7 linked regions of the Daphnia pulex genome follow. The protein of the gene in region 7 purifies or fractionates together with the protein of the main gene of each other region. This does not show direct contact. Links are inferred from orthologs where the notes say so. Each region holds a gene or a part of one and is shown on either strand. Other genes may lie near its edges. The genes, in order: small nuclear ribonucleoprotein Sm D2, splicing factor 3B subunit 3-like, small nuclear ribonucleoprotein F, probable ATP-dependent RNA helicase DDX46, splicing factor 3A subunit 3-like, pre-mRNA-processing factor 19-like and U2 small nuclear ribonucleoprotein A'-like.

Region 1 (2,737 bases), on a different chromosome or scaffold from region 7:
ATGAAGAATTGGGGCCTGCTGTATACAAAGCTGACCCAGCAGGTATATATCTAAAATAGGGTGTAAAGTTCTCAAATTGTATGCTTTATTGCTGTTTTACTTTTTTTTCAAGGATATTACTGTGGTTATCGTGCTACTTCAGTGGGTGTTAAACAAACCGAGGCATCGTCGTATCTTGAGAAGAAATACAAAAAGAAACAAAACTACACACATGATGAAGTTATCCAGCTTGCTATTACAACTCTGTCTCATATCCTAACTGCTGATTTCAAGCCATCTGATATTGAAATTGGAGTTGTTTCTAAGGATCAACCAGGATTTAGGTAAGAAAATGCGCAAAATATTTAAGTTTAGGAAATTAATGTGACTGATCTGATTGTTATAGAATTCTGTCGGAAACTGACATCGATAAGCATCTGACTGCAATTGCCGAAAAAGATTAAGTTTGATTTTGTAACTTTTTCTTTCAACATTGGAATAAAACGAGATAATAAAACACATTTTCCGCTGTTCGATTTTTTTATTTCATACAAAAGTGAGAGATAAACACATACAATTATTTTGCTCCAGGAGTACCAGCCAAAGGATTTCTTAATACTAATATTACAGAATCTCCACGTAGGAACATTTTGGAGATAAAACGGTCCTTGTTGACTGGTTTGCTCTATAAAATAAATATACAACTGTCACTGTTGATAGATGAATGAATGAATGCAGAAATAGTGAAAATTACCTTCTTCTTTCCTTTCCCTGTTCTGGGAACTTCAGTCCACATTTCCTTGACATTTTCTAGAACCATATTGCAGTGACGGTCAAAAGCTTTAACACGTCCCAGTAGCTTTTTGTTGTTACGGCAGTTGATCAAGACCTGAGTGTTGTTTTTTACACTCTGAGTCAAAACTGAAAGTGGTCCAGTGTTGAATTCTTCTTCTTCCCGTTTGGCCAATTCCTCCGGTGTCATCTCCGACTTGGGTTTATTTGCAACAGCCCTATGGAAAGAAACATTTATTATTTAGTGCTCATACGAAACTGTCAAGTAGAGAAAAATCTGCAGACACGGAACACTGTAACTAGCTGAAAATATAGATTTAAAAATTTTCTATTTTGAAATTGAACTTAAGCTTTACTTACGCCATGATAAATAGAAGGATGTAAACGGATAGAGAAATATTCTTTGGAATATTTTTGAGCCCGGCTTCGTTTAACTTTTCAAACCGTTATTCACTTGTTTTTCGTAAACAAAACGTACATGCTGCGTTGTCATATTGTATTAATTAGCATTAGACGGTTGATGCTATTTTATGTCTTATTTGCGATTTAATTGCCAAAAATTGTTTTTTAATGTTGACTTACATTTTTAAGAGACACGTTTCAATTTCTAATAATTGTTGTGAAAAGAAAAGAATGAAATTTGCCAAGAAAAACATTTACAATCCCAGACGTCAGACGTCTGGGACTCTGTACTGGAATTCGTTTTAGTCGAGAGGAAAGGAAATACAAACCTCAGAAAGTAGAGTCAAGAGAAAACCGAAGCGGTTGACAATTGTCAGCCGACAGATGTTATGTTATGTAGCATAGCTTGTCTAATGCCATATATGGACATATTCCCCCCGTATGCACAGACTATTCTTTCTCATGGTCCCCAATGGAGAACGCTTTCCAGCGTTGTTGATAAGTCATCCTGAAACGGCGAAAACTTTCGAATCACGCTGTTATCGGCTGTTCATTGTGCGAAGGCGATCTATGGCAATTGAAACTTTTTGGTCTAAATTATAGAAACAGAGAAAGTTGTCGACACCGGTCCCGAGAGTTTCAGATTTTTAATACATAGGGGAGGGGAGGGCAGATTAGAGGGAGGGGAAGTAAAAATGTGAGTCATCGATGTCTGCCCATAAAAGGTCATCCTCCCCGAGAAACTGAATGAAAGAATAAGTGTGCAACTGGCCCAATAATTTTTTTTTTTCGTTAAAACACTCATGCGAGATGCACACCATTTATTAGGAAGTCGGAATGATCATTTAGAGTCGGCAACTTTTTGCTCAAGCAGAAAAATCTGCGAGTAGAGGATTTTACAGAAAAAGTTACTTTTCGTAACTCTCTCCAGGTTTGTGGTTTGGGCTCCCCTTTTTCGGGTTAACAAGCGCCCGATATGGACAACCAATCAGAGAATGTGCAACCAGTACACACAAAATTCTCTACAATCGGCATCATCCTTCAATCGCTAAGCAAGCAGAGACCCCTGGCGGTTACCCGAATTCATTTAACGACATTTGAGATTTTACATAACAGCAAACAGAATAAGAGTCATACAAATTATTTTTAAAATGATAAATGATGCGCCTATCATTATATGTTTTATTTGTGATAAATTAGTGAAGTTTGTAATATGGTTCGAAATAGGCATCGTTTGACGGCGCTGTATTCCACCCCCAGATGACGCGCTTTTCTGGGTGTGGACTGGGTAGCGCCAAGTTTTCTCAAGTTTGGGGAACAGCCGCCATTTTGCAGTGCGAGGTCCCGGCCGGTGTAGAGAAGTCTACTCTGAGTTTCCCCTCTTCTTTCGCCGCGCCACGAGTAAAATCTTATCGAGGGCATTTTCTCTCTCTCTCTCTCACTCGCACCACTCACTCCCCCCAGTGCCGTCTCATCCCGCAGTCATTCGGGTTGATCTTTCAGTTTAGGCGTCTTTGAGCTTTGCGTGAAATTTTTCTAGACTTTTTTCTTAGTCCAAAATGGT
Region 2 (4,140 bases), on a different chromosome or scaffold from region 7:
GTCCACACTGCATTGGGGTTACCGGGAAGTTCAGAAACAGCCATCTCCGATACTTCCAATCCATGACGGAGAACACGAAGAGACGAACGAGAACTTCTACCACAAAGTGCATACAACTGGGGTGTATCCTCATTGGCTGTAAATTGAAAACAAATGTTAAAAACCTTTCAAAACAGGAGGAATTATCAAACCTACCGAGATCAGCAATATGGCAGGCCAGAACTGGAGATAAAGACTCCATCTCGTCCACGAGAACAAGATTCTTCAAAGGTCTCGGAGCAAAGAAGAAAGTATCTCCTTCCTCCAATGGTATAGTAGAGCTGAATTCGGGTTCATCGTCATCATCCCCCAAATGAGCAATCTGGTAAAGATAACTAATAACACAAGGAAAATTAATACACTTGAAAACCCATAAAACTACTTCAAATTTTGTAACCGAAATCAGAGTCAAAAATTATAATCAAAGTGTTATCTCAGGTGAAACACGGATGACAATACACATCATTTCAGCAAATAGAAAAAAAAATTTAAGAAAACTAACTGATTTCCAAATTCCGATGCGACGAATAGAAAGCCTGTCTTCAACACACACATGCTGGACGAAACTGGAACGGTATCAAAGTACTTGATTTTCAATTCTCTCACCACCTCTTCATCCATATCCATGGTGATCTTGAAAATATCGCCCTGCTCCGTTTGGACAAGGAAGAAAAACATGGCCTTGGTGCGATGGGAAGCCGAGCAGACGAAAATCATGCCCCTTTCCGGATCATCCAAGTCATTCTACAGAGAAAAAACTTATTACTACCGTCCTCAATACATGGAATAAATAACTTATCGGAGGTTCGTTCCAGGACAGCATGCAATATGCGCATTACAATCCAACGATGCAAACATCTCCAAGTATAGTTTAGGCACTAGTCGACCAGCACGTGTATAGAACACGGCTGGAGATACCGCGCGCCAAATAACATAATGAAATGATCAAACGTACCCTTCTTCTGGGGATTGGGCAACGAATGTCATGCTGTTCACCCAAATTCTTATATGTGATGTAGTTCTCGGAGCAAACCAGAACTCCGGAAGGTCCGTCGTTTCCTCCAGGAACAGTGATGAGGAAATTGGCGTGCTCATCCAACGGCTCACTATTAAAGTAAAGATATGTTCATCAAAATATTTCTTACATTGTCACACATAAGTCAACAATGTTACACACTATGATAGATAATGTCCCCCTTATGTATAGCTGCAATCTTTAAGTGACAAGAGAGCAGTAAAGTTAAGGGGTTTTGAAACCCAACCAGGCAAAACCAAAATCACCAAGATTTGTTACGCACCTATATTTCCTAACGACGTGGTTTAAACCCAGATCGAGTTCGTAGAATGTAAGCGTTTGTTGCGTCTTCTGTGCCGCCTCGCCTGTTGGATCACCATCGGCCTCTTCATAATCCATCTCCAAACAAGCAAATACAGGGTTTTCAAATCCCACGTCAACACCCACTATGTTGTAAACTAGAGTGTTTGACTTGTGAGCCTCCAGCGGAGAAGAAATGGTTAAATGGGCTTGGGCATCCCTGTTCAGAATGTAGACCAGTTTTTGCTTCTCAATAGCACCTGCAATGCAAAAAAAAAACATAAATGTTAAAGCAATGCGCACTCTCAAGCCACAAGATTTCGATTTTAAAAAATTCTCAGTAAAAACGTTAGATATCAGCATTATCTTTCTCAGATGGGGAAAGAAGACATAAAAACGTAACTCATCACTTGCAAGAATTTAAATTAAAAACGGATCAAAACTTACTGATCATAACAGCTCTGCCTTTGGGATCAATTGCCATGTACTGTCCAGGAACAATCCGACGACAACCGCTTTTGCCGTACGTTTCTTGGTGCACCTTATCAAACACATTTTTGGCAGCATTGTATTCAAGAATGACAATTCGCCCAGAGTCTGATCCGACCACAAGGTAATCTAAATACAGAATTAATGAAAGTTAGCAGGATGTATGTTTTAAAAATTATATTTGCACAACTCACCCTTATTTCCTCCAGTAAGCCTGAAACTAATGATTGACCTGATGATTCCAAAAACCTCTTGACTGAGAAGTGTGTGTACTTTGCCAGTGTTGGGATCCGGCTTCACAATTTCGAGTACCTTTCCACGAGCAATGACAATCTCCTGTTGCTTGGTGCCACTGAAGTTGCCCTGGACTGCCTGAATGATGCCAGTGGCACGCTGCAGAGTCAGATTGTAAAGATACATTTTCTTTCAAGTTGACGTGTCCAATGTGTAACTTGAACTGCCTAGATGAGCATCACCTGCGAAAATGTTATCAGATATAATTCTTACATTTGTCCAACATGTTTAATGACAATGTTACACACCATTTGAAAATTAATGTCCCCCTCATGTATAGCCACCAAACTTAATTCACAGAAAGGCGGTAAAGTTGTAAGGGGTTTTCTTTTCTTTAATAGCTAGACGAGTACGCGAAAGAAACTACAGCCCCGGCATCTCACCCGGCAAGGTTTTCAAATTGACATGCTTCAATATTTTAAACATCGCCAAAAACACACATTTAACCATCAAAATAACTGCTTTTCAACTATCTGGAACTAAAATGTGTAGTCAAACTTGAATTTACCTGTGGATGTTACAGATTTTCCATGATGGAAAATTCAGCAAAGGTTGAGTGAAATCTCTCTTGGCTCCGGCGTCGCGCTCGAGTTTAGGGTTCGACTTCTCGTGCATTGTGTGATAGGCAATATTTTTGAACATCTGACATCGACTCTCTACTTGGTCTATCCCTAAACACAGCATTTTCAATGCATTTGCGCTTTCTTTATCACAAGATTTTTTAAATTATTATTATTATTTATAGAACGATTTCATAATGCATTATACAATAAAATTGTGAAATTAATAAAAAATTTCAGTGGTGATAATCAAGAATGATTTATTCACAGCTGTTTTTATTACTCATAAAGTAATTCAAAAGACGTGTTCATATTCCGATCCCTTGCTATGCGCGCGAGTTTCTCTCTAGAACCACCATGCAGCCACGCTTTGAATAGACAAGTTCGGGATGCTGAGTTGCACAACCGCAAAATTAGGATCGTGCGCCAACGAGTTTTTGTAACGTTGTGGGGATAGTAGAAAGCGGGTTTTTTATTATTTAAGCATAGAATTACTTATCTAATCTTAGAAATGTTCAGGATTATCGTTGTTTAGAACATTCTGCTTTTTATAGAGTAATTTTAAATGTATAATTCAGCTTAGTTTACCCATTCAAATTAAAGAAAGTCCAAGCCTGGGATGCTGTTTAGTCTTTTCTTGTGTGTTTGAGCTTGTCACTTGTCAGCAGATCTGTCAAAAAACACAAGAAAAGACTAAACAGCATCCCAGGCTTGGACTTTCTTTAATTTTAATGGGTAAACTAAGCTGAATTATACATTTAAAATTACTCTATAAAAAGCAGAATGTTCTAAACAACGATAATCCTGAACATTTCTAAGATTAGATAAGTAATTCTATGCTTAAATAATAAAAAACCCGCTTTCTACTATCCCCACAACGTTACAAAAACTCGTTGGCGCACGATCCTAATTTTGCGGTTGTGCAACTCAGCATCCCGAACTTGTCTATCTTTTAAAATTTCTTATTCAAAAATTTTTATTTGCGGTGCGGTAAGGAATAACGAATAAGGGTGTTGAAGCACTTATCTTTTTTTTTCAATTCATAATGTACCGTTGAATTCATTTCGAGTCATTCAATTCATATTGACTGAAACAATCGAGTTCCCGAACTTTACCGATTAACTCGTCCTCTGTCGCCAGTGATGGAATGTGGAACGGCTTGCAGTCGGAAATCAACTCTTGACTTTTGATGTTTCCTATTAAGAACAAGTTTAGAGGTTTGAAAAAAAACGAAACTAGAAAAAACGAAGAATTTGATGTTGTCCTTGCATTCTTTGGAACAGCCTTTATTGCAGCATCTTCCAAAAGATAGCCGCAGCGAAATTCTTCGACGTTTGGAATTTAACATCGTCGACTTGTTGTTGTTGTATACGCGATATCAGCAGTCGGTAGTTTTGGGCCAACTTTCGTCGTCGTCGGGAACAGCATGAGATTATAGTTTTC
Region 3 (2,575 bases), on a different chromosome or scaffold from region 7:
ATGTTGGATTCAATAAGGAAACTCCGATGACACCATGACTTGCAGAGCGAACATGTCCCTTAACTCCACCCGGCCAACCCCTGCTTGGCAGGGGGTTGACAGTTTCAAGCTCTATTGGGGGTTGCATCACATCAGGAAAAATGTAGGTGGTACCCGGTGAATCAAAATCCATACCGTCCCTGAAAATGAGAGAGTACCAAATTCAATTACAATTGAATTTCTTTAACCATTCACGAAACTAACTGTCAAGCTTGTGACTACCAACAACCAACTCAAAATCAACACAAACTTCTGAGCAATGGAAAAGGGAGAGTTATTTACTCACCAAACATCTTATTTCAATATTGCTGAAAAAGACAAGTCAGCTTTTGTTTTCAAAAAATGTCCATGGCAGACTAAAATCAACAAATCGTCTTAACAGTGGAACGATTGTTCGTTTATTTGGTCCAATGATGGAACCCAGTGAGGAAATGGAAGAAAAACAATCGGTTGGAAAGTGACGTCAACTTTAAAAAAAGTGCAAAAAGATGAAAGAATGGTAAGATAGAGTTTAGTGTCAGCAACTGAGCAACTTGTTGTGTGTCCACGTATATAACGGCAAATTCCAGCTGTGCACTGCTTTCAGCCTCTGCTGCATACACCGTACAAGCTTTACTGCCAGATTTTACACTCGGTAACCGATAATAAAGGAAATTGCGCGGAATGGACACCGGAGTGAAATAAGAAACCGGTTTGTTGACCGTTTAAAAGCTTCCAAAATGTAAAATTGAACCTAAAAAGTCTTTCTGTATCAAGACAAACTGTGATAAATTCCTATCTTTTTAATTCCGCGAAACGCAAAACCCTCTTTTATTACTTTTTAGAGAGCGCTAATTCTGGTTGTGAAGCTTCTCTGTTCTTGCCAATTTGTTAAAAAGACTTTTCATATCCACGACCACGAGTCACTTATTAAACAAAATCACTTAATAACGATACATAAAAAAAAATTCTCCTTTGGTTGTAAATTTTTCCAGCTATTATGATTGAAAACAGAATAGGTGACGTGAGTTTTTGGTCCGGAACCAGAGATCCGGGATCGTTGCTCTACGATGGATATCTCATTACATTACATCAAAAAATTATTTAAATAATCCTATTTTATAAGGTAATTTTAGTTCACTAGTTATTAGGTTTAAATATGTAAATTTCTTTCCTACAAAATGGAAAAACTTTCTCAAAATTTGATGTACTTAATAAGACGACTTGGCAACCCTTACTTCTGATCTTTACGTTACAGAACGTGTAAACTGAAATAACGCGGCTTGACTCGCTTGTCAAACATTCAATCAAATTTTGTAAAATCGTTGACTAAAACAAATACAAATCATGGCAGTAAGTTCAAAACCTAAATCTTGTTGGGTGGTCCTTTTTAGCCGACCATTTACTAACATGTTATATTTCATATTTTCAGGCACCCATGCCCATCAATCCCAAACCCTTTCTCAATGCCTTAACCGGCAAACCGATTATGGTAAAACTGAAGTGGGGCCATGAATACAAAGGTTATCTCGTTTCAGTTGATGGATACATGAATCTTCAGGTACTGTAATAATTATACCATGTAGTGCATTTTCATCAGTAAAAAAATGAAAACATGCTGTTGCACGAAACAGTGTGCATATATGAACAATGGCAATAATTCTTCTTATATTATCACAGTTGGCAAACACAGAAGAATATATTGATGGAAGCTGTACTGGAAACTTGGGTGAAGTTCTTGTCAGGTGCAACAATGTACTTTACATACGTGGAGTGGAAGAAGATGATGAGGAGGGAGAAATGAGAGATTGATTGCTGTTTGTATTGAATTTTTCATCCTTTAATACATAATGTCATTTCCTATCTATCTCATAGAAGTTATTGTATAGGAAACCTGGAAACCCTAAAAAATATGTTCTGGTGTATACATTACAAGATTCCCACAGACAACGAAGGACAAACAAGTAAAAAAACAGCTTTTCAGTATCCAAATTCCAAACACAGAACCGTTGTCTACCGTATTGGTGATTTAATGTTAAGTATACTGGAATTTCTTACGTTCCGGCGATTTTTTCCATTTAGTCGGAAAATAAAGGCTTTGTCTAAATGGAAAATGGTTAAGCTACCTTATGAATGAAGTTAGTAGGCAGCCCGCAGTCCCGCATGCTCGTAAAACTCAAGTCACATTTCTTTTCCACTTACACCAACTTGTTCGTAAATATATTTTGTAAGGTATAAATCAAAAAGGCAAACAAATCCGGAAACACCTTTTCCGATTGGCTCACGCTGGTACCAGCTGATGTCATAAGAATACCTAATTGCTTATGAATATTAATTGTTCAATACGTTTCAATTGGCCTGCATGTAACACGGCTGTTAACACTATAGGACGGTAAGCATGCGCAAGTTATCACTGTCGTTTGAACGTTAGGGGAGTTATAGGCTGTTGAACTCCGAGATGAATTACTACGGTTTGAAACAAATAATAAACATTGTACAAATGTACGTTCCTAACTAGACAACGAAGATTAAAACGTTACTGTCAGGATCACATTTA
Region 4 (4,077 bases), on a different chromosome or scaffold from region 7:
AGCTACCAAAATAAATTAGTTTATAAACAAAAATTCATTGTTAATTTAAGAAAAAAGCTAACTTTCAAAAATTTTTGTTCGTCTTCCATAACAAGAACATGCTGTTCGACGTCAGCACAAACAACGCTACGACCTCCAACCGTGATTTCAACAGGTTTGTTTAGGATTCTACGAGCCAAGGCCTCCATTTGACGGGGAAATGTAGCACTAAACATAACAGTTTGTCGATCAGGGCGAGTGTTATCAATGATTCGCATTACCTATATAAAAGGAATAAATATTTCTAGTCACCCGACGAAGTATTACTATCTTGCTTACTTGTGGCTCAAAACCCATGTCGAACATGCGATCAGCTTCATCCAAAACTATGTAAGTCACACGCCGCAAATTGGTGACACGTCCTATTTCAAAGACTAAAATTAAGACACTTTTTTAATAGTTAATCTATAGGTAAATTTTACCGTTGTTGGCAGCTAACATATCAATCATTCTTCCGGGTGTGCACACAATAATTTCAGCGCCACGTTTTAGTTCAGCTATTTGCTCTGATATTCCCGTTCCTCCGTAGACCGTCACCACACGCAAATTCAATGACTTGGTGAATCTTTTACATTCTTTGCCGATTTGTAAGCACAATTCTCGGGTAGGAGACATTATGATAGCTAAAACAGTGGAATATTTATGAAGGTAAAATAATAATAATAATAAAAAAAAATAAAATAAATACATCGATGATATTAAACACTACGTACCGATTGGCCCATCAGTCTCTTCTAATGCAGGCTGGTCTAAAATATGCCTAAACATAGGCAGCAAAAATGCCAGTGTTTTGCCACTGCCAGTTTTGGCAATACCTATTATGTCCCTGCCTATATATTTTAATAATAGTATTTTTTAAAATTTATACAACAAAAAAGTGTTCGTTGTTGTGTACCAGACATGATTGCAGGGATTGTCTGCGTTTGAATGGGGGTTGGTTTTTCATATGCTAATTTTTTTAGAATTTCCATTTCCTTTTTACTAACACCACATTGTGCCCATGCTTTTATAGGTCTCGGACACCCTTTTCCTTTAACTTTAATGCCTTCAAGTTCCTATATGTTAAACAATTTTTTTTTAACGTCCTGGGGCACTAGCAATTGTATCAGTCATACACACCTGTCGGTATTCATCTACTTCTTCTTGGGTCATACGTGCTATGTCGGGTACTTCCACGTAAAAGTTCTTCCGGAAAGGAAAATAGTTGATTTTGTTGTGATCAATTTTAAAAACTTTTTCTTTCTGTTTTATGTTGCTATTCGCCAGTCCGGACATTGCTGATGCCAAGTCTTCTGACTCTTCTTCTGAGGAATATTCCAAAGCGTCCTGATTTTGTTCCACAAGCTCACCTTTCTTTTTAGCAGCTTTCTTTGCTACTCCGGTCATTACCATCACGCCAGATCCTTTTGATTTTTGAACGTCAAGTTTCTGAACCTTTCGAACTTCACTTTGAATGTCCTATTTTTTTTTTTTAAATTAAATAGATGTTGATTTAAAAATACTAGTGTAAGCAGTAAGGTACGAATCCATGTCGATTCGGCAAAACCAAATCGGCACATGTAGATATTCTGAAGTACCTGCATAAAAGCATCTAAAGGGTCAACTTCTTCCTCTGCTTCTTGAACTTCAATTTCTTCGTTGATCGTTTCAATTGCTTCAACTTTAGCAGATTCAGTTTTCAATTTTCCATCTTCCTCTTCCTCTTCTTCATCATCTTCAAGTGACCATTTTTTCCCAGCTCTTTGATTGGCTGTTTAAAAGGATGGCAATATTATGAAGTATATAAGACAGTCAGTTTTTTTAAAAAGTTATTTCTAGATTATTACCTAGATCAGATTTAACTTGAGCAATTTCCTGCATCTTTCGTTCTAAACGCCATTTTTCTATTCGTTCTCGGCGTTTCTGCATTTCCAAGTCCAAAGTTTTCTGCTCCTCTTCCTATATGCAAGAAAAGAGACAAACAAACAATGTACACCCTTTCAAAATATTAAAAAATAGAACAACTTACTTTGGCAATCATGGCTGCAACAGCTGCTTCCTCCTTTAGCTCTGATTCAGATTTCAAAACAGGTTTAATTTCTTCGACTAAAGTTGGTTTTCTATCAGGGGATTTTGAAATTCTTCGTTCTGAAGTTGTTGTTGATCTTTTAGATTTATCATGATCTCTATCTTTTGATCTGCTTCTTCTCCTGGAAAATGTTACAAAAAGGTAGTTTTTACTTCTTAACATGGATCAGACTATCTTTTGTAAACATGAAAAATTAATTACTTGTCACGCTCCCTGTCCCGATCTCTATCTCTTTCACGTTCCCTGTCTCTTTGCCTGTGTTCCCCATCTCTATCTCGTTCTCGAAGTTTTTTAGAACGAGGACTACTGGATCTGCTTCGGCTTCTGGATCGTTTATTATGCCTAGCGTAGATGAGAAATGTAAATAAAATAATAATATTAAGCAATGAAAAACTGTAAACAAAAAATTTACATAATCTATATCGTTATTATAATCTGCATATTATTTTACTTAATAAATGAATTAATAAGTTAAATAAAAATAACAATTATACTTGTGTCCGTCACGAGCCATCGAAAAGACGTTTAATTTCGGAATACTTAATAAATTTTGCAATGAAATGAGTTAAATACAAAATGCACATGAGTGCGTCAATTTTGATACACAGATACAGGCAACATTGCCATGTTTAAAATGAATTTTACTTCAAACAAATTGAAATTGCCAACTGCTAGCTCAGGGCTCTGCTCAGGCTACTAGCTGCTGCTAGCTTTTTGCAAAATGAACTTTGTCCTGTCCTGTCTTTTCCATATCCATGTTTATAAATAATATCTAGATTTTGAAAATGCAAGGGAAATTTCTTCTCCCGGCTATTCAGATTTTTGTCCTACACACCAGAGGGTTTTCAAAATCGGCCGGTAGATGGCTTGCAAAATGAAGTGGGATGATTACGAAAATCGTTAGAAAATGGCGGAAAATTTTCCAGATTTTAAATCCCTTATATCTCTGCCAATAAAGCTTAGATAAAAAACGGGGCAAGACGTCTGTGGAAAGGGGCAAAATCTTCTGAAAAATCCGTTTTTTAAACGGCCTGGTTCACCCGAAAACTGATGTAAAAAACCCGAAAAAACGCTACAATTTCTGGTGGGCCCTCATAGTTTTTCGTGAAGAATTCAAAACTATAACAACAAAAAACAGTAAAATTCCGATAAAATGGTTTATTTGGGGATGTACTGCGATGCCTTGTCACCAATTCCCCAAAAATGATAAGCCCCCCAGACCCCCAAATCCGGCCTCCTTGACTGGTGGACTCGATGTTAGAAGTATAATGGTTGCAACCCAGAAAAGAAAGAAATAATTGTCTGTAGACCTCCTTGGCAGAGTAGTAGATAATGGTGTAGCCACTAGGACAGGAGGCCTTCCATTTCCTTTTTCCCTAAAAGTGTTTCTAGCTTTCCACTTCCCAGCTCTTAAAATTAGCGCCACAGCAGGTGTGGTGGGAAATGGGGAATGGTTTTGCCGAAGGTTTCGCTCGGTAGCAAGAGGCGTTGGTGATAGAGGATAAACATAGATACCTAAGCTCAGTTTTCACTATCGAGTCGTGATGTTCGCTGCAGCTCTAGGAAAAATTTCCGAGAGGAGGAGTTAACATGGTAGTGGGTACACCATTATCTATTACTCTGTCCTTGGAGTAATGGAAGCCAAAACCACGATATAATAGGAAAGGTACAGTATCCTTCAAAAAAATCCGAACGGCGATTTTTTTTCAAATAGCCACCTATCCATATGGCGGGGAACTGGGTTTGGTTTATAGGCCGAATTTGGGGGGGTAAGGAACAAAGCGAAAGGTGGGAAGAAAGAAAAAGGAGTAATTAGCCATTGGCCATGTCTCCCCCCTCCCCCCCCAAAAAGAAATACGAATGAAATCAGACAGGCTGTCTGGAATTTTCATGGCGCGAAAAGTTTATTTAACCGACTTAAACTCATTGCCGATTATTAAACAAATGACTTAAGGCGATTCCTTTGAACT
Region 5 (4,205 bases), on a different chromosome or scaffold from region 7:
GGCCAGTTGTGCTAAAATTGGCAGCATCTTACGTCACTGTACACAAACTCACCGATTTCGGCATGTTGGATGATCTTGTTTGCTCTTGGGCTGTTTCAAGCTTTTTCTCTCCTCTGACTCTTGTTGGAAGAGTTGAAAGCCGGGCTTTTACTTCTTCTTCTTCTGCAGACTCACGCTCGCGCGAACAATACGCACGGAGAACCTGGAAAGAAAGAAAACAACAGGAAGAAATTAATGTCAGACAGACAGACTGGGGTTGTTGCTGGTGGTGTAGAAGAGATTCAATAGCATATGGTCAACAAAATCTAAAGTACACAGATGGTCAGCATGTGGGCACATAGCTAGAGTGATGGGATTCTATATGTATATGTGAGTTGTCGAAAGGCCAGAGTGACTTCCCAACACATCCTGTCCATTTGGCAGGGTGCCGTCACAGTTTAGCGAATGCATCAGGGTTGATCGAAAACCAAGACATTCCTTTTGAAATGTCAAGAGGAGAAAAAATAAATTACGGTTGAATGGAAAGAATACAAGGAAGGAATGGTGATGTCATGGCTGGCCCGTACATTATTTCCAAACCCAGAGAGATGAGCATTCATTCAGACACCTGTATTTCAACATGAGCCTTGAGTGTCATTGATAGGGAAAGGATGAAAATAAGGGAGGGGGGAATGCTTAGGGCAAACACTCGAGTCAAGAGGCCGAATCGTTTTTCGATTTTTCACGATTCCCAATGGCGAACACACCAAACACAACTCAAGAAACACACACACACACCACGCCTATTGTTTGAACGACGGCCACCTGATAAACAAACATCAAGTTCTTTTCGGTTTGGATGTGTGGATATACACTAAAAAATGTTAATCAGATTAAATGTAAAAGAATAAAACAGAAATAAGTACTGTTGCGTATACGTGAAAACCACTCTCTCGGGTGACAGCCACTTATAACGCACTGAATCGGCGGCGGCTCTCGACCGTTGTTGGCCCTCAGTATACCTCCCCTCTTCGCTCTTCTGCAATATGGCTACCAATAGCTTAGCTCAGCTTTTTTTTCTTTTTTCTTTTTATTTCGATTTTCAAAGACTTCGCTCCATCCCTCTGGCGACACTAGGAAACATTACCGTCCTGAGTCCTGACAGCAAAAAAATGCTCACATTTTCTTGGAATGCAATGAATGAAATTGGTTTTTAATGATTAGGAATAAATTAAAATTTTTAATTAAGCTAGAAAATTTATTAAGCTGTGTATATTGAGAAGGTAAATGAATCAAAATTTAATTTTAAGGGGTTTACACTTTACAGTCTTGTAAACATGAAATGAGTAACAAATCATCAAATTTAAATTTAGACAATATATTCTTTTATTTTAACGAATTGTACCATTTTAATAATTAAAAACATTATAATTAAAAAAGTGAAAATAGTTTTTGCAAAAAATCGATAGAATACTTTAGTTCTTACAACGGCCACCAGTTTGTTTTCCAAGCCCAAGCATTGTGATTTTTGCTCGTTTATTGCCGGCTTGTTTAAATTTTTTTATTTTATCATACAATTCAATTCATTAAAACCAATGGAGACTTTGCTAGAGCAGCAGAGGAGATATCATGAAGAAAAAGAGCGTATCATCGACTCCATGGTCAAGGAAACAATCTTCAAAAAGACCACTCAAAGGGAGATAATCAACTCGGAACACCGTCAGAAAATTTTGCTTGACGTATGTAAACTTTGGCTCATACAATTGAACAAACAACTCTTAATGTCGTATTTTGATAACTGTAGAGGTATATGGAGAGTACAAGAGTTTTGAAAGAGATCTATGAAGACAAGGACGGACAGCGCAAAGAGGAGGTGGCACTGCTCTCTGGACCAAATGAATTTGTGGAATTTTACAACAGACTAAAACAGATCAAGGAATTTTACAAAAAACATCCAAATGAGGTATAAAACACATTCATTTTCTTTAAGTGTCATTCAATAGCAGTTGGTTTTGTTTCACAGATTGCTGTACCAATGTCCATGGAATTTGATGAGTTTGCCAAACAGAGAGAGAGTGGAGCTGACGAAACAAATAGTAGGTTATATCTGACAGAAAGCACAGTCATATAAAGCTAATGTAATTTGATTTTCAGATTTGGTTGACTTTACCGATGAGGAGGGCTATGGCAAATATTTGGATCTTCATGAAAGCTATGTGAAATACACAAATTTAAAAGGAATTCAGGTCAGTTTATAGATTGAAACAAGAAACAAATCGAAAAAAATTAACACAGTTATATTTCTTACAGAAAATTGACTACATTAGCTACCTTAATATGTTTGACCGTCTCTTTGATATTCCCCGGGAGAAGAAGAACGCTGAATACAGAAACTATCTACAAGCATTGGTGGATTATTTAGTCGATTATGTTGCTCGAGTAAAACCAGTCATGGACCTTGACAACTTGTTTCATGAAATCGAACAAGATTTCGAAAAGGACTTTGTAGCGGGTACATTTCCTGGATGGCCGGTAAGTCTATTTACGACTGTTTCTATTTTCTGTCCAACCTAACTAACGCTGGCAAATTTATAGAAAGAAACAACCGGAAGTGCTTTGGCAAACGCAGGTGCGGCGTTGGATATTTCAGCCTTTTCATCTTGTGAGGAATTGGCATCTCTAGGACTGGATCGTTTGAAATCAGCATTGATAGCTTTGGGTCTCAAGTGCGGTGGAACACTCGAAGACCGTGCCAAAAGACTCTTCAGTACAAAAGGTCTGTCGGTAGATGAAATTGACAAATCTCTCTTCGCCAAAGGCCAGGGTAAAAATCGAGGTGCTACCGAACAAGATAAGGAAGCCGAAAAACAAAAGAAGATTGCCCTTCTGGAGGCTCAAGTTTATAAGTAATTCCATTTAAATTATTGAATGAAATTGAATGAATAATTAATTGTGAATAATTCATAGACTGATTGAGATCTTGTCTGAACCACGGCATGCTACCAAAGAGAACGTGGAACGTAAACAGGCCCGAACAGATGGGGAACGAGAGGAGGAAGAAGAAGACGTTGTCGAGGTATAACTTAATTACTTTGACATATTTCCTTAAACTTTAAATTCTCAACTGCCATTTTCAGGTCCCCGAGGATGAAGATGAAGACGATGACGTCCCTTACAATCCCAAGAATTTACCACTAGGTTGGGATGGAAAGGTATAAATGAACCAACATTAATAATTGTGTAACTTTGTTCTAATCTTATCGATTCATCTCTTATCCAGCCCATTCCATATTGGCTTTACAAATTGCACGGCTTGAACATCAGCTACAATTGCGAGATTTGCGGCAATTACACGTACAAAGGTCCAAAGGCGTTTCAACGTCATTTTGCCGAATGGCGTCACGCTCACGGCATGCGGTGTCTGGGTATTCCCAACACGGCCCACTTTGCTAACGTAACACGAATCGAAGATGCAATTTCACGTAAGCTTTCAGTTTATTTTTGTTTTTCCTGTCCCCTACCGATTAATAATAAAATTCTAATTGAAACTTCAGTTTGGACAAAATTGAGAAGCCAGAAAACGTCAGAACGTTTCGTCGCCGATCACGAGGAAGAGTACGAGGACTCGATGGGCAACGTCATCCCCAAGAAAACGTACGAAGATTTGCGTCGACAGGGTCTCTTGTAAAGAAACATGACTGGAAAAATAAATCTTATAACTTCGTGCGCGGTTATATTTTTATTCCATCACATTTGCACAGAGGAAGCGCAAGCTCCTTGGTTGTTGTCGAGTGTCACTGTAATATTGGTAATCTTAATCTATGTTTCGATTTATCACTTTGTTGTCAACTTGTATTACTGAATCATCTTCCCATCACAAAACTTTGCTCAGATGGAGTTTTTCGTCATTCGTCTCAATTCCCAGCTCATCGACATGTCGAGAAAAAGAATATGGATTAATGCTTATGTGTCACTGATTTCCGTCGATATCCTCATCGATCAGCTACTTTTAGTATACTTGCATTTTAACACACTTAAAGTATATACCACCTTACTATAGGTATGTAATCTTAATCATATTCGAATTTTAAACAGTCATCTTATAACAAATATTTAAAACCTCTGAGCAATCACGATATTGAAAAGGCACCCCAAGCTTTAATCACTTGCTTATAATTGAATTTGTCTTTAATTGATAACATCTGTATTTGAAATATCGAAATGGC
Region 6 (4,209 bases), on a different chromosome or scaffold from region 7:
TTGTGTCAACTCTTTAGGGAGAAAAAAAAATGCGTCAAATTAAAGAAGACAAATTTTTTGAAGGGCAGAAAATTTTATTCATTCAACAAAACCACGCTTCCAATTACAAAAGATGCAACAATGCAACTTGATAGAAGCGACGGTTGAAGGAACTGTTTTTGGGCGACTTACCTCGTACTTTATCTGGAAAAATCTTGATTCAGGATAGCAATCCAATATGAAGAATTTGAACTATGAAATTTGAAATTAACGTAGTATGATCTCACTATTCCTTGTTTACAAGAGTCGACCGGCATTTTAGGCCAAATACATAAACCCCTGTACGAAGGAGCGGCCGATGCATCGATTGCCTAAGCCGCCATTGGGATATGCTTCAAGAAAGCGAAAATGCCAAGCGAACTGCCACGCCACTAGTGACAAAATTTCGAAGCTTTTTGTTTTATTTAATGTATCGATAGTAACGCGGGAAACTTAACTATCGATATACACTCGTAGAATTGTTTTTGATGGGAAAAATGAAACGCGTGTATTTTTGTGAGGGCGAGAGTTCGATGCGGTTTGCACACCTTACAGCAAAAAAAAGGATAAGACGAAAAATGTTCATTTAAAAATCCCCTCTCAACATTGAATACAGTGAATCACTCGATGCCATAAATTTTCAGCGTACGATCCATACTCACAGACGCTATCGACTGCGCATGGTTGCCGAAACGGACTCCCATAGCCAATGCTGTATGGTCGTTAAAAGTCTTAAGAGTTTCCCATTGCTTGCAGAGATAAACACGCACGTCGGTACCAGCCACAGCAAGGTAGGTGCCGCTTTGATCGAAGCACAAGTCCTTAACTTCGTATCCTTCGTCGAGCTGAATTGTTTTAAAATTCTTCAATTTCCGTAAATCCCACAATTTGACGCAAGAGTCTTCTGCCGCTGTAGCCAAATAGTAACCATTTTCTGAAAATGACAAAGCCGCAATAGGACCGGAATGACCTGTAATTGTAAAAATGGTAATAGTAAAGCTAATGTTTATCACAAGATTATTTTAAAAGAGCCAAACCTGGAAAGTTGGCCACGTTAGATTGTTCTTTTAAATCCCAAATTTTGATCTGTGAATCTTGTGTTCCAGTGCCGAAAATGAGACCATCTGGATGGAACTGGGCTGTCGTAAGCGGATTTCCGTCTGTGTCGGCAACCTTTGTCAACAACCGCCCAACGCGAATGTCTGAAAATGCCCAGTGTTGATCCAGTGACGTCGACAAAACATATTCTCCGGTTGCGTGGAGCGACAAGCCTGTGACAGGGCCATCATGAGCACGGATGATGGCAGATTGTGAGGAGCCGGTTATATTCCAAACACGAATCGTCGCATCAGGAGATGCTGTTATCGCGACTTCCTATAACAGATTCAAGGGGTATATTAGTATCATATAACAAAGTAAATCAAGAGAAAATTAAAAGAAAACATGAAATTACCTCTTCTGGATGATAAAGCACCTTGGTAACTTTTTTTGTATGTCCCTTGAGAACAGCAACAACCTGCTCAGTGTCCTTGTTAAAAACTGTAGCGCATCGATCGTTACCTCCAGTCAAAATATGAGAAGTATCGGCGGCGTGAACGTCCATGGTCAAAATTCCGGGCATACTTGCACTGTGCAAAGCCTATATGTAATCAATCCATGAAGATGGGATAACATTTCAAAATTATATGTCATTACCGGATGAGATGCCAAAGTTTTATATCCCTTCAAAGCTTCTGCTGTAGCTAAGCCTTCGGGCATGGTTTTGCCTCTACGTTTTCGTTCTTGAGTAAGAACAGTGGCTTTATCTTGTAATTGTGATATGATTTCCGGAGTTAATCCAGCTGCCTCGATCGGTTGTGCTGCCACACCACCCGCTTCAGCCTTACATCAAATCAGTAAATTTATCATAAATAACATACAAATAAATATCATAATGCTTTCTTACTGAGGCAGCAACAGATGGTGTAGATACAGCAGCATAGCCAGTCTGGGGCTTAAGAGTTGCAAGTGCTTCCCGTGCTGTAGACACTTCCTTGTGGAGGCGTGCAATAACACGACAAGCAGCATCATGTTGGTAGAGAGCATGACTACAAATAGAAAGAGAATGTTTGCACAATAATTCCATGTGTAATTAAGTTGGTCAATACCTCAATTCTTGTCGAGCAGTTTGTAATTGTTGCCTCAAAGTAAAGGAATTTAACATGACAGCATCCCATTCATCTTGTAAAGACTTAAGCACGGCGGGAATGCTTGTTGCAGATGGCACTTTAGGCTTAACAATTGGGGGGGCTAGAAACAAAATTTCAATTACATGTAAATTCATTGTGGAACTTTGATAAAAAATTTCTTACTTTTGATTTCAATAAGTTGATCTACAGTTATTTCTTTCCCATTGATGGGATCTACCCCGTTATCAGCAATGTACTTTTCAATCAGCCGACGTTCAAACACAGATCCTGACACCGGTGAGACCACAGGATGTTCGGGAACTTCGTTCGACACTATATAAGCAAGAGATATAAGACATTAAATATCAAATTTCTCAGAAGAATGGATTGGTTTTAAATTGATATTTATAATGAAAATGTAATATTACGAGAACAACAGAGGGCCATGATGAAGCGTGTAACCTTTTTTTATATACTTTTCACAAAAATGTGCGACAAGCCAAGATGCATATGTTCGCTTCGCTTAGGGCTAAACAGTTGCTAGACTACACTATTCAATAAAGCGCTTCATTCCTCAGTGCGAGTTTTCTTTTCTTTTCAAAATCCAATCATTTTTTTAAGACTCAGAAATTTTTTTATTGGAATGTGTAAAAGAAACAGCATAGTTTTTTATAAGTAATAATTTCATAATTTAAGTTTCAAGTTTTCAACTAGAAAAAGTGTCCAGGCAACGGTGCAAACTGACTGAAATGCCGGGCCAGCCATTTCCCCCATTTCTCAACTGAAGAAGCCAACCCAAGCGCAGTGCGAACACTCCTCGAAAATTTGAAAGATTCGTTTACTGTTATATTCAATTTAAACTGAACAATGGCCTCTCAACAAAAATTCCCTGGAAAAGAAGGTGGTGATAATTCGAATGAACAAGGGTAAGAAATTTTTTCCATTTATAATATGACATGTGAAGTTCATGGGAGAATGTAAATCCATGACGCCGTACACTAAGCTTTTCATGATTTGCGTCCATTTACTATTTTTTGGTACGAATCTTGTTTTTTTAGTAAAATGTTCATCGGAGGTTTAAGCTGGGAAACGACGCGCGATAATTTGCTTCGATATTTCAGTCAGTATGGTGAAGTTGTTGACTGTGTGGTAATGAAGAACCCAGAAACTGGTAGATCGAGAGGGTTTGGGTTCATTACATTTGCTGATCCTAACAATGTTGGTTTAGTACTACAAAACACACCCCATATACTCGATAATCGCACAGTAAGTTTTTATATTTTCTTCATACTCTTATTTGCACTACCTGAGCGGTGATAGAATGTTTAACATAATTTTATCTCCTTTCGCGGTATTGCTACATAGAAGTGGAAGGAATTGAAGTTTATATCTCAACTTGAGATATATATTTGATTTCTTTCTACATTTTTGGTTGTTTTTTATGATCTCATATTTTTATGTTTATGCAGATTGACCCCAAACCTTGTAATCCACGTGCCGAAATGGTACGCGCTCCTCGCCGGAGTATGGGTACAGGAAATGGTTACAAAGTATTTTTAGGTGGGCTTCCATCAAACTTGACAGAAACAGATCTTCGTAACTTCTTCTCGCAGTACGGAAAGGTCTCTGAAGTCGTTATCATGTACGACCAAGAAAAGAAAAAATCTCGAGGTGAGTCACTTTCCTCAATTAGTGGGTATTAAAGTTAATTAAAACAGCGTAAATAAACTATGAACGTCCTTACATAACGTATGACGCAAGTGTAAGTGGTTATATTCCGAAGATTCGATGGATTCCTTTTTTGATAACTTTGCTAACTTTAATAGTGTGGTTATTTTATTCCTATAGGTAAGCAAATGGCTAAGTTCCTATCCACGTTTACTTCTACTGCTCATGTGAAAGAGTTTCCGCGAATTACAGTAGATAATATGCCATTAAGGAACTTGGGAGGGTGGATTTACAAGTTTTACATCTGACTAAATATTGGCATACCCATTGGGTTGAGTCAATATTTCTTTCATAA
Region 7 (3,262 bases):
GTAGAATTTTGAACTTAAAACGATCAGTTCTGGATTTTCGTATAGCTGTAAGTTGTAACCTACAAACCAAGTTTGCTGCCATTATCACATCATCATGGCGGTGTTAGCTCATGATATTCCGGATGTGGTATCGGGAAAAATAGGAGTGGGCGCCAAAAATCTTACTCAAAACAACGAAACTTACGCACGGGCACGCTCGTTAATGAAAGGACACGAAACGCTCTAAATTAGATCGTCTACAGTTTCCAAGCTACTCCTAACCCGTCATGTCCGGCTGAAAATAACGCACACCCCCACATCCGCCTTCTATGCATGACTCATTCCGCAAATGGCAGATGAGCCTCTTCCGAATACACGTAGGATATACACACTATGTAGCATATCTAATTCTATGACTGAAAATTGGTTTCGCTACGCATTTTTCACAACACAGTTTTGTTAAAATGACCAAATTTAATCGCTTCTCGGTCTTTTAACTGTGACACAAATTAGACGGGCAATTTGTAATTTCAAAAATATCTTTCTGCTACCTTATTTACTCTAGGGTAGCGATATTTTTATTATCAAAGTGTAGTCCCACATTCACATTAACAGCTTGATACAAATTAATTTTTACCCGTGATGGCATTGTCATTTCTCCATGGGTTCATCTTCTTCCTCCTCCATATCTTCACCTACAACAATTCAAAAGTTTTAACAAACGAAACAAGGAAGTTGAAGACAGGATGTGAATTTACCATTTGCATTTCCGTTTTTGCTGGAGCCTTGGGTGGCTTTTCCAGGTACGACACCTGCCCTCAACATTTGGTTTAGACGTTCTACCTCTTCCAAGGTGGAGGCATTAGCAACAGCTTCTCGGATTGCACGAGCCTCCTCCGCAGATGCACCACCTACACAAAATAATTTAATAACATTTCTTAGGCTAACAAAACAAAACATTTGTGTTTTTTACCTATCGGTGCCTTATTTCCCGCTTCAGCTGAAAGAAACTTGCTTTTCTGGGCGATTTCTTTCGCCAATACTTTTCCTTTCTTTGATTTGAATAGGTCTCGGGCGGCTTCTCTCTCCTTCAAATCAAGTTTTACATGAATAAGGAGGAAAATTCCTGATGTCAGGTAGAACATTATTACCTTAAGTTTTACTTTACGAAAATCCAACACCCTCAGGCTTGGCAACTTGTTTATCACATATGAACGATAATGTTGCTTATTTGCAACAGGATTGCTCAGTAGACTTAAATAGGTGAGTTTAGAGAATTCTGCTAATGGGTCAAGGTCGCCCAACTCTTGCAGATGATTATTTGTCAGGACAAGGGTTTCGAGGTTTGGAATGACTTCACCTAATCCATCAGCAATGCGTCTACAGATTTTAAAGAATCATTTGCATGAAATTAAATTTGTGAATAATACAACAAAAAACTTACAAGATTCTGTTGTTGTTTAGGAGAAGACTTTTAATTCGTCTCAGCAAGGGAAAACCATCCAATTTCCTTATGTCATTATCTGAAAAATCTATTGTGTCAAACTGATCCTGAAAAAAGAAAACACTCCAGTAACTGTTCAGCATGATTACACTACAAATTTACTTACTAAAGTTGCTCCTAGGTTTTCAATTACAGGAATCTTGTAACCTAAAATGATGACAAAAAATAGCTGTATTTTCACGAAATATTTTTACAATTACATCACTTTTTTTAAGCCAACACAAAAAACTTTTGAACTTTAGTAACTGACTGAATGAGATTGAAGCTGAACGCCGGTTACATACCTCTTAAATCTAGTTCTCTTTCTTTGATGGCATTCGTGTACTGGTGGCTCAAGTGAATGACCTCAGCCGTCAACTTCACCATTTTCTTTTTGGCTTTTTAAACCTTAAACACGTAATTGAATTTGGGAAAAGATGCAATTAAAACTTGAACAAAATGTTTTTGCACGTTTGTAGTTGACAAATCTAGGGATATCTAAGTGACGCCATGTGCGATGTTGCAACTCATTTCCGAATACATTTCCAAACAGGAAATTAACTTTTCAAACTAAAGTTTTATCAAAGGTTTTGTGCATCTGTAGCTTTTTATCTTGAAATATAAATACTTTTCTAAACTAAAGTATTTAAATTTGTCAACAAAATTAAAAAAAATTATAAACGTTAGAAAATATATGAAAATGGCTGTGTTTTTGCCGCTAGGTTTTAAGCAGACGACAATAGCCACGAACGATTCGGCTTCCAGTAAAACTGTAAACAACTTCAAAATATTGAGTTTGTGTTGTAACTTGAAAGCAAGTTATCAACTTTGAAACAGCATTTGACATTTATCTTAAAATATCAAGTTAAAGACAGTATAAAACATGATTATTGCTGTTGAAGGGTGCGCTCATGGTGAACTTGATCAAATTTACCGGTCTGTCGAGAATTTGGCGAGGCAAAGAAATGTCAAAGTTGATTTGCTCATCTGTTGTGGAGATTTTCAAGCTGTTCGAAACGAAAGTGACTTACAATGCATGGCAGTACCTGACAAATTCCGTCATATCTGTACATTCTACAAGTATTTATTTATAATTGTTTTAGACAAATAAGAGTTTATTGTAATTGTTACTGTTTTTTTCAATATCAGGTATTATAATGGTGAATTGAAAGCACCAATTTTAACTATTTTCATTGGAGGCAATCATGAAGCATCAAACTATCTACAAGAACTTGCATATGGAGGCTGGGTTGCTCCAAATATATATTATCTTGGCTATGCTGGTGTAGTCAAGTTTGGTGGCATCAGAATAGCGGGAATATCAGGCATCTTTAAAGGACATGATTACTTGAAAGGACATTTTGAAAAACCTCCCTACACAAACAGCACTATGAGATCAGCTTATCATGTTCGTAGTCTTGAAGTATTTCGCTTGAAACAGGTAATTACATTTTGATTGTTTTAAAGATTAAAAACTTAAATGTCTTTTAATTTTCAGTTAAAAGAAGACATAGATATTTTTATTTCACATGATTGGCCTCGTGGTGTCTACAATTATGCAGATACCAGAGAACTTCTGCATTGGAAACCATTCTTTCGGTTTGAAATAGTGTTACCTAATTGTTCCAAAACACAATTCAATTTACACATTTCTTTCTTTCCCCTTCCAGTGATGAGATAGCCCAAAATGTATTGGGAAGTCAAGCTGGAGAAACATTACTTCACGAATTGAAGCCTAAACATTGGTTTGCTGCCCACCTTCATTGTAGGTTTGCTGCTACAATCCAACATAATGAAAAA

What was found.
Region 1: the proteins of U2 small nuclear ribonucleoprotein A'-like (region 7) and small nuclear ribonucleoprotein Sm D2 purify together in Homo sapiens (affinity purification with mass spectrometry; 5 studies listed by BioGRID and IntAct, counting the BioPlex papers as one, with this or other methods). This does not show direct contact. The link is inferred for Daphnia pulex from reciprocal best matches to the Homo sapiens genes SNRPA1 and SNRPD2.
Region 2: the proteins of U2 small nuclear ribonucleoprotein A'-like (region 7) and splicing factor 3B subunit 3-like purify together in Homo sapiens (affinity purification with mass spectrometry; 5 studies listed by BioGRID and IntAct, counting the BioPlex papers as one, with this or other methods). This does not show direct contact. The link is inferred for Daphnia pulex from reciprocal best matches to the Homo sapiens genes SNRPA1 and SF3B3.
Region 3: the proteins of U2 small nuclear ribonucleoprotein A'-like (region 7) and small nuclear ribonucleoprotein F purify together in Homo sapiens (affinity purification with mass spectrometry; 3 studies listed by BioGRID and IntAct, counting the BioPlex papers as one, with this or other methods). This does not show direct contact. The link is inferred for Daphnia pulex from reciprocal best matches to the Homo sapiens genes SNRPA1 and SNRPF.
Region 4: the proteins of U2 small nuclear ribonucleoprotein A'-like (region 7) and probable ATP-dependent RNA helicase DDX46 purify together in Homo sapiens (affinity purification with mass spectrometry; 3 studies listed by BioGRID and IntAct, counting the BioPlex papers as one, with this or other methods). This does not show direct contact. The link is inferred for Daphnia pulex from reciprocal best matches to the Homo sapiens genes SNRPA1 and DDX46.
Region 5: the proteins of U2 small nuclear ribonucleoprotein A'-like (region 7) and splicing factor 3A subunit 3-like purify together in Homo sapiens (affinity purification with mass spectrometry; 6 studies listed by BioGRID and IntAct, counting the BioPlex papers as one, with this or other methods). This does not show direct contact. The link is inferred for Daphnia pulex from reciprocal best matches to the Homo sapiens genes SNRPA1 and SF3A3.
Region 6: the proteins of U2 small nuclear ribonucleoprotein A'-like (region 7) and pre-mRNA-processing factor 19-like fractionate together in Homo sapiens (co-fractionation; 3 studies listed by BioGRID). This does not show direct contact. The link is inferred for Daphnia pulex from reciprocal best matches to the Homo sapiens genes SNRPA1 and PRPF19.

Annotation. Positions count from the first base shown.
Region 1 is NC_060018.1:305,245-307,981, reverse strand, and holds small nuclear ribonucleoprotein Sm D2, read right to left. Parts: upstream 1,525-2,737; 5' UTR 1,354-1,524; intron 1,285-1,353; exon of another isoform or gene 1,253-1,284; 5' UTR 1,137-1,252; coding exon 1,132-1,136; intron 990-1,131; coding exon 734-989; intron 665-733; coding exon 557-664; 3' UTR 501-556; downstream 1-500. Other genes in the region: proteasome subunit alpha type-6-like, read left to right, coding at 1-42, 113-323, 386-443; cofilin/actin-depolymerizing factor homolog, read left to right, coding at 2,733-2,735. UniProt on the Homo sapiens protein: Plays a role in pre-mRNA splicing as a core component of the spliceosomal U1, U2, U4 and U5 small nuclear ribonucleoproteins (snRNPs), the building blocks of the spliceosome.
Region 2 is NC_060019.1:9,348,549-9,352,688, reverse strand, and holds the start of splicing factor 3B subunit 3-like, read right to left. Parts: upstream 2,801-4,140; 5' UTR 2,646-2,800; intron 2,320-2,645; 5' UTR 2,264-2,319; coding exon 2,038-2,263; intron 1,973-2,037; coding exon 1,802-1,972; intron 1,615-1,801; coding exon 1,338-1,614; intron 1,146-1,337; coding exon 995-1,145; intron 784-994; coding exon 542-783; intron 375-541; coding exon 196-374; intron 137-195; coding exon 1-136. UniProt on the Homo sapiens protein: Component of the 17S U2 SnRNP complex of the spliceosome, a large ribonucleoprotein complex that removes introns from transcribed pre-mRNAs.
Region 3 is NC_060019.1:9,593,819-9,596,393, forward strand, and holds small nuclear ribonucleoprotein F, read left to right. Parts: upstream 1-1,224; 5' UTR 1,225-1,365; coding exon 1,366-1,371; intron 1,372-1,450; coding exon 1,451-1,579; intron 1,580-1,698; coding exon 1,699-1,830; 3' UTR 1,831-1,839; exon of another isoform or gene 1,840-1,881; intron 1,882-1,893; 3' UTR 1,894-2,075; downstream 2,076-2,575. Other genes in the region: phospholipid-transporting ATPase VD-like, read right to left, coding at 1-172. UniProt on the Homo sapiens protein: Plays a role in pre-mRNA splicing as a core component of the spliceosomal U1, U2, U4 and U5 small nuclear ribonucleoproteins (snRNPs), the building blocks of the spliceosome.
Region 4 is NC_060028.1:6,108,852-6,112,928, reverse strand, and holds the start of probable ATP-dependent RNA helicase DDX46, read right to left. Parts: upstream 2,801-4,077; 5' UTR 2,622-2,800; coding exon 2,602-2,621; intron 2,450-2,601; coding exon 2,309-2,449; intron 2,229-2,308; coding exon 2,048-2,228; intron 1,978-2,047; coding exon 1,866-1,977; intron 1,790-1,865; coding exon 1,617-1,789; intron 1,498-1,616; coding exon 1,159-1,497; intron 1,095-1,158; coding exon 935-1,094; intron 870-934; coding exon 753-869; intron 663-752; coding exon 462-662; intron 402-461; coding exon 319-401; intron 261-318; coding exon 63-260; intron 3-62; coding exon 1-2. UniProt on the Homo sapiens protein: Component of the 17S U2 SnRNP complex of the spliceosome, a large ribonucleoprotein complex that removes introns from transcribed pre-mRNAs.
Region 5 is NC_060028.1:1,227,858-1,232,062, forward strand, and holds splicing factor 3A subunit 3-like, read left to right. Parts: upstream 1-1,461; 5' UTR 1,462-1,574; coding exon 1,575-1,718; intron 1,719-1,783; coding exon 1,784-1,942; intron 1,943-2,002; coding exon 2,003-2,075; intron 2,076-2,133; coding exon 2,134-2,225; intron 2,226-2,289; coding exon 2,290-2,511; intron 2,512-2,574; coding exon 2,575-2,885; intron 2,886-2,946; coding exon 2,947-3,055; intron 3,056-3,116; coding exon 3,117-3,191; intron 3,192-3,259; coding exon 3,260-3,461; intron 3,462-3,533; coding exon 3,534-3,667; 3' UTR 3,668-3,705; downstream 3,706-4,205. Other genes in the region: moesin/ezrin/radixin homolog 1-like, read right to left, coding at 53-202, 778-819. UniProt on the Homo sapiens protein: Component of the 17S U2 SnRNP complex of the spliceosome, a large ribonucleoprotein complex that removes introns from transcribed pre-mRNAs.
Region 6 is NC_060022.1:3,393,987-3,398,195, reverse strand, and holds pre-mRNA-processing factor 19-like, read right to left. Parts: upstream 2,747-4,209; 5' UTR 2,634-2,746; coding exon 2,615-2,633; intron 2,520-2,614; coding exon 2,370-2,519; intron 2,308-2,369; coding exon 2,166-2,307; intron 2,106-2,165; coding exon 1,964-2,105; intron 1,900-1,963; coding exon 1,714-1,899; intron 1,658-1,713; coding exon 1,472-1,657; intron 1,393-1,471; coding exon 1,056-1,392; intron 989-1,055; coding exon 639-988; 3' UTR 501-638; downstream 1-500. Other genes in the region: heterogeneous nuclear ribonucleoprotein 27C-like, read left to right, coding at 3,054-3,112, 3,245-3,452, 3,656-3,857. UniProt on the Homo sapiens protein: Ubiquitin-protein ligase which is a core component of several complexes mainly involved pre-mRNA splicing and DNA repair. Required for pre-mRNA splicing as component of the spliceosome.
Region 7 is NC_060021.1:10,325,758-10,329,019, forward strand, and holds U2 small nuclear ribonucleoprotein A'-like, read right to left. Parts: upstream 1,993-3,262; 5' UTR 1,850-1,992; coding exon 1,768-1,849; intron 1,631-1,767; coding exon 1,590-1,630; intron 1,531-1,589; coding exon 1,424-1,530; intron 1,360-1,423; coding exon 1,131-1,359; intron 1,068-1,130; coding exon 953-1,067; intron 891-952; coding exon 738-890; intron 675-737; coding exon 631-674; 3' UTR 501-630; downstream 1-500. Other genes in the region: lariat debranching enzyme B-like, read left to right, coding at 2,346-2,542, 2,612-2,903, 2,961-3,061, 3,133-3,262. UniProt on the Homo sapiens protein: Involved in pre-mRNA splicing as component of the spliceosome. Associated with sn-RNP U2, where it contributes to the binding of stem loop IV of U2 snRNA.